Linked DNA regions of Danio rerio. The protein of the gene in region 1 interacts with the protein of each later gene in a pairwise test. Links are inferred from orthologs where the notes say so. Each region holds a gene or a part of one and is shown in the gene's direction. Other genes may lie near its edges.

What was found.
Region 2: the proteins of mcmbp (region 1) and asl interact in binary tests that used the Homo sapiens proteins (3 or more experiments, as listed by UniProt). The two-hybrid records come from large-scale screens. The link is inferred for Danio rerio from reciprocal best matches to the Homo sapiens genes MCMBP and ASL.

The regions. Positions count from the first base shown.
Region 1 is NC_133188.1:28,760,041-28,763,880, reverse strand, and holds part of mcmbp (mini-chromosome maintenance complex-binding protein), read left to right. Parts: coding exon 1-129; intron 130-232; coding exon 233-387; intron 388-628; coding exon 629-726; intron 727-815; coding exon 816-985; intron 986-2,251; coding exon 2,252-2,375; intron 2,376-2,793; coding exon 2,794-2,911; intron 2,912-3,025; coding exon 3,026-3,191; intron 3,192-3,840. UniProt on the Homo sapiens protein: Associated component of the MCM complex that acts as a regulator of DNA replication.
Region 2 is NC_133196.1:33,927,597-33,930,763, forward strand, and holds part of asl (argininosuccinate lyase), read left to right. Parts: intron 1-2,418; coding exon 2,419-2,478; intron 2,479-2,564; coding exon 2,565-2,648; intron 2,649-2,877; coding exon 2,878-2,958; intron 2,959-3,054; coding exon 3,055-3,161; intron 3,162-3,167.

The DNA.
Region 1 (3,840 bases):
GCTATGCAGGCACTAGTCAGGCACGAGTGGTGCCCTCCACTTCCTACGTCCCCAACAGGCATAAGCGCAGCTATGAAGAAGACGATGAGATGGACACGCAGTGCCAACAGACCAAAGATATCAGCCAAGGTAAGAAAGAATAATTAACCTTATCAGTCTGTGAGCATGTAGACTGTTTTGGTCTACCAATGATATATAAATGTTTAGGACTAAAAGGTTTGTCATTGAACAGGAGCTCAAAGCTCTTCTGAGTCTCACGGCAACACTGAGCCGAAGCGTCAAGAGACCGAAGCCCCCAGTCAGGACTCGTCTTCATCACACTGCACATCCAGCCTGGATCTCAACTTCCCTTTGCCTGGTGAAAAGGGCCCAGCCTGTCTTGTTAAGGTTTAACTGTTCTTTCATCTTAATCCATTGTCTTGACACACGCTCAATTAAATTATTTTTGTCATAGGTTGTCGTTTTTAATGCGCTGCTTTCAGACTCAAGCCTTTCAGAATCAAGCTGTCTTGAGCAGCCACATGTTAACATAGTAATTTACTTGCAATAATATGATGGTTCGCACCATTGGATTGTTCTCCACCTACACAGACAGTCATATAAATCTAGCGTCTTCTGTAATTGGCAGGTGTATGAGGACTGGGACAGTTTCAAGCTGAATGACATGTTGGAGGTATTTGGTATCCTCTCTGTGGACCCAGCCTTGAGCGTGATTGCAGATGAGAGGTAATCTGGAGCCTTTTTTGAGATGGTTGTAATTGCTATAGGAGGTTCTCTGCAGTTAAACTGTAATATAATGTTTGTCATATTTTCAGAGAGGCATCTTCATTGCTGGACCCCACAGAAGGCATGGAGACTATGGAGGAACAGAGAGTTCACAGCCCACCAGCGTCACTTGTACCACGACTGCACATGCTGTATGCTCAACCTCTAGCGCACAACAACCCACTGCTGCCCTCTAGTCCACTGGAGAATAACGCAGACTGTAAGATATTACTTGTGTGATTTGGGATTTGCTCATTTTAGTGAAATTTATACACTCACCACAGTCACTTTATTATTTACACCTTGCTTGTGTTTAAGTTGACATTTTTATTTAAATTCTTTATTTAACAGGGATTGTGGACAATCAAAAAACTGCCCCAGAATTAGCTACATAGCTACATAGCTGTGTTTTATTATGATATTTTGATAATGTTTTTGTTATATAATTTGTATTTTCCTGCCCAGAATTAGCTACATAGCTAATTCTGGGCAGGAAAATACAAATTATATAACAAAAACATTATCAAAATATCATAATAAAACACACACTTAATGGTCACACACCTGAAGCATTTTAACCAGCATTTCAAATGCAGCTTGAACTTGGACTCTGTCTTATGATAATTGGTAGATTATTCCATTTACAAACAACTCAGTGACCCTAAAATTCTTCAATCAACTCTTGATGAAACAATATCCTTCAATTTGAGTTTAGTATTAGGACTTATCAGGCACTTTTTTCATTGCAAGATGTAGCACACTATGGCTCACTTCTGGGGGCTTTTTCACTGCAATCTACCTGGTACTAAAAAAAGTACCATCTCGGGTGAGGTTTCAAGCAAGCTGTACCATCACTGAGATGTGACGTATACACACTACTGATCACTAATTGATCACTTTTGTGGTCATGAGACACCAAACCTGCTATATTTAAATAGTCAGCTGCAGCCACAAACCATTTTTCTACCACTGCAATTAAAAGGCATTTGAAATGACCACATTGTGGTCGGCATAGAGGTCCAGACATTTCTCATCAGTAGCTGAGGAGTGGCTAGAGATAGTTGTGTGGCAATCTGGTATAGGCAACAGTGCAAAGTTCCTAGTCCCCTAAATCACATTTCTTTCAACTTCTGAAAATCATCTTGAGCATGTCTACAAGCCTAATCAATGAAGTTGCTGCTATGTGATTGGCTGATTAGAGATTTGTATTAACGAGTATTTGAACAGTAATACATAATAAAGTGGTCAGTGAGTGTGGATTATTATAGTATTAAGTAATTGTGTAAGTGTGTGTGTGTGTGTGTGTGTGTGTGTGTGTGTGTGTGTGTGTGTGTGTGTGTGTGTGTGTGTGCGCGCGCATTGTACATGTTACCATTGTAAATATATTACAAAATGATGACCAGATAGTGAGAAGAATTAGTATCAGCTGTTGACAATCCTGTTTCAAGTCCAAATGATGGCTTTTTTGTGTGTGTACATTCTCCAGATTTGAGTTGTGTTCTTGGCGAGCTGGCTTCAGTCCGAGCAGAGCTGCTCACATTCTTTACACATATCCTGATGGGAGATTCACTTGCTGCAGAGTTCCTCATTCTCCATCTCATCTCCAATGTGTATGTTTCTTTTTGTTTATTCTGAGTGGCTTTGTTGAGCGCCTTATGCATGCATACTATTCTGCAAATTCCGACTTGTATTCTAATGAAAATAAAATAAATGCAAATAAGAATGATTTTTTTTCCACAATGATGCCTACATCATCATATTATCTTTTGGAAGAAACCAGCAAATATAATTTGCTGGTTGAATAAAAGTAACTTTAAGTAAGAATTTTCCTGAGGTATGGATGATTTCGGACTTGACTAGTAATTTATATAGCATATTTTGTTTTGGGATGTTCCTTAAAGTCCTTAAAGACGTTTTAAGATGATTTTCAGCTTCAAGAAAAGTGAAATGTTTTCTACACAAACCTTGTAACCCACAGCCCTTCAGACTACGATTCATAAAGATTTACTATGTCTTTTTTTTTTACAGATACAGCAGACGGGATGTTCTTCCTTTGGGCAAATTCACATTGAATCTCAGTGGCTGTCCTCTCAGCTCTCCATTCACAGAGCATCTCTTCAAAGTCATCCAACAGCTTGTGCCATCTGTAAGTCATCTACATTGTAGATCTTTCTTGCATTACCTCTATTATAGATACAATTGATTATATACGACAAGCAACACTACTACTTTTTAAACATGATTCCCCTTTTTTTGCTAGTCATACCGACTATCAATGAGCCTGCATAATATGAACACCCAGCGCATGGTGCCTCGGAAAGACTACACCGCTAACCGTCTAGTGAGCGGGACTCTTCAGCTGGCCAAAAACACATCATTGTTTCTGGATGAGACGCAGTTGGAGCAGGGCCAACTGGACTCCACAGGTGAGAGCACTGATTACCGCAGAATACAGTAGGAGTCCAAACGTCTGAGGCCACATTAGTTTAATCCGCTTTATCAGTCTTTAATAATTTGCATGACTCAGTCAGACTGAAGAGACTTCATATAAACACTTCAGTCAATCCAGCTGTTCTCAGTTTGAAAGAATTAATTAAAAAGAGTTGATGTTGATTTAAAAATATATATTGCATGCTCCATGTTGTGATGCACATGTTTTATGAATCCTACAGAAAAGCATGTTATGAGACTATTAGCTTTATAAAAGCTGCACTGATATATATTAGGTATGAAATTGAAGCAGAAATATTTGTTTGCACATTGTAGCTCTAGTGGCATTGTTTGGAGTGTTTGTTTACACTCTTACTGGCAGAGGCTGTTTGCACTGACTCTGCCCACTAGTGTGCGGTGTAAACAGTTAAAATGAATGTCAATATTTTCTTTTGTCAGCAACAGTGTGTAAAAAGTAAGATGGTTGTAGGGGAAACTTGATGCAACAGACTTTTAAGTCTTAGCAAAATGTCTTAACAAAAATGAATAAAATGTAGGGCTGGGCTATTTGGCCTAAAATCAAAATCTCAATTTATTGAAGATTTTAACTCGATTTGCGATTAATAAATGATTATTTTATTTGTT
Region 2 (3,167 bases), on another chromosome or scaffold:
ATATGAATAGAAACAAATGACAAATTCTCCAACTTCTGTAATTGAGTATTTTTGTTCTCAGGAATTGCAATTTATTAAGTAGTTTTAAAACTGTGTACTTTTACTAGTACATTTGCATGTCACTGATGAGAAGATGACAGATGTTTACTGTATAATGACCGAAATGGCCTTAAACACCCTGCATGCACAAAATTTCAGCATCTTGTGGGGACGTTGCATTTTGTTTGGATATAAAAACCAGGTTGACATCAGAACCCAATGTCAGGCCGCTATCAATGTCCAACCTAAAATCAACCAAATATCAACGTCTAATGATGTTACAGCTTGATGTTGTGTGGACGTTACCACTATGACGTCTATCAGATGTTGGATTTTGTTTGCCATAGCTGATGAAGAAAAGTCAGTATTTGATGTCAACATGACATTGGTTTAAGATGTTGGCTCGACGTTGGATTTTGGTCACTTTCTAACACAACCTAAAATCGACCAAATATCGACATCATTTGACATCAAATTGGATCTCAAAATAACGTTGTCCTTTGACGCTGGCAAGACTTTGAATTTTGGTCACCTGACATCACAACCTAAATCTAACCTATTATTGACATCTTATGACATTGTGTGCCTGCTGGGCAATAACTAAATGCACTACAGCAGTGGTTCTCAAACTTTTTTCACCAAGTACCACCTAAGAAAAAAATTGCCTCTCCAAGTACCACCATAATGACCAGTATTGAAATAAAGTGTAGTGTGAAAGTAGTGTAGTTGGCCAAATTAAGCAGCTACAGCACTGCACAGTTCGAAAACGAGACAGTCATATTTATATTCATATTTATAATTTTTTTAAATAATTTTTGAAATATGTGTTGTATGCACATATGACATATTTGTAAAACTTTTTGAAATCCAAACATTAACTTGTATGTAGATTGCTTGAGAACCCGTTTTTCTCAGAGGATGTCAAGCTGACAAAACTTTATTCCACTTTGATACAAGTTTTATTTATGGAGAAAGTTAAATAGCACTGCAGTGTTTCTGTGTTCTGTGTTTGTCTTAGTTTGAGATAATTAGTCTACCGAAATTATAAAATATGAAGCCAATCAGTCAGTTCTTGTCACGTGACTCATGGTGTGGCATTCTGAAAAGTTAAGATGTTTTCAACATGTTACGACTGGAATACGCAAGCGCATTGTGATGCTGTCGCCTTCATTATAAATAACAAACTTGCAGGTGGAAATGACACGATATGTGAACAGCCGCCATCATTTGCGATCTACAGCAGTTGATATTCTTGCACATTCATGCTGGATTTACCTGATTTGTTGACAAATGGGTTGCGCATCCATTCGTTGGCAGTTCTTACTCATTTTGCTAGCCTGTGGTTAAAATTTTGGCATATTAAAAACATTATTAAAAAGTGATCAAGATGTAAAAGGAGAACACGGCAATTTTTCCAAAACAAAAGAATTTTCAAAATAAATGATCGGACAGACTTAGATAATATATAAAATGGAAATAATTAATGATTTTTTTTGTGTGCCCTGGTACCACTGCTTTATCACATATCTGCTCTTCAAGCACCACGCACCTCTTTCTCTAGTTCTGCGCCAATTGGATTGATTTTTAGCAGCTGAAGACGCAATACACTAAAGTAAACATTTTAAGCACAGGGCTTTGATCATAGGTCTTAGAGAACAGCCAAAATTTTATAAATTTTTTCATTCATTACTCAGCAATTCCTCAGCATACCACTAGAAGTAAGCCTGCGTACCACTAGTGGTACACGTACCACAGTTTGAGAACCACTGCACTACAGAATGTTACGTTTACACACATCCACAAATTACATGTAAACGCATCAGCTTTTTACCGCGTAATACTCACTACTCACTACTCACTACTCCTGAAATGTTTTGAAAGGTCTACTATTTACTCATACTTTGAGTAATATTTACAACAGATACTTTTACTCTACTTGCACTACATTTTTAGACAAGTAATGGTACTTTTACTTGAAAATGATTTTTCAGCACTCTTTCCACCACTGCTAAAACCACAGAATTTCTCTGATAATAACTCTGTATAAAATGTAGCCTATTTAATAACATCCTCGTTTCGGTAGATGCCATCAAACATTGACTAAACTAAATTGTTCTTTTTCATGCAGTATTCAATAAGTTGATGGTTGTGAATTAAAACAATAATCAATTGATAAATGGTGGCAGTCAATGCATCATTGTATCTAAAACACAATCAGCTTTAACGTCAGTACATCCACTGATGTATTAATAGCTAGAGATTTTATAAACTATATTTATTTATAGTTCACATTTAGAATTTACATTTAAAAGTTACATTTTTAATATTTATACACAAAAACATTGAGACTTACTCAAATCAAATCTCATTTTAATTCAGTGTGCAGGCTTTCTGATGACACTCAAAGGCTTACCAAGCACGTACAACAAAGACTTACAGGTAAATCCACAAACTACAGGAAGAAAATGTCAAATGTAACCTTTAAAAATGAAAACATTCCCTAATTCAAGATTTCATCACTGCAGGAGGATAAAGAAGCCATGTTTGATACATATGATACTGTACACGCTGTGCTGCAGGTGGCGACAGGCGTCATCTCAACTCTAAAGGTGAGAGACGGGTTACATCACAAGTTAATGCAGTTTTATCATGAACAATGGTAATCAAAAGCAAAAATGTTACTTTGGTTAAATAGTAAATGAAGTGGAATGAGATGTAAACCTGTTGGACGTGTAGTAATCCAATTTTAGGGTGAAATTTAAGCAGTGAAAGGAGAAGTTTTTCTATTAATTGTAGATTCTGCTTGCAGTATGTTATATTTTTCTATTTTTTTTTTAGGTCAATCAAGCAAAGATGGAAGAAGCCCTCAGTCCAGATATGCTGGCCACTGATCTCGCCTATCATCTGGTCAGAAAAGGAGTGAGTACAGAAGGCTAGATATTTTTTTATAATAAATGCTATTTGCATTGGAGCAGAGCTGAATGAAATCTGATGTTTGTTCATGTTTTATTAAAGATGCCTTTCAGAGAGGCTCATGGTTGTGCTGGGAAAGCTGTCTATATCGCGGAATCTAAAAACATTCGACTGTCCCAACTCACTGTAGAGGACCTTCAGACGGTCAGGTTAGT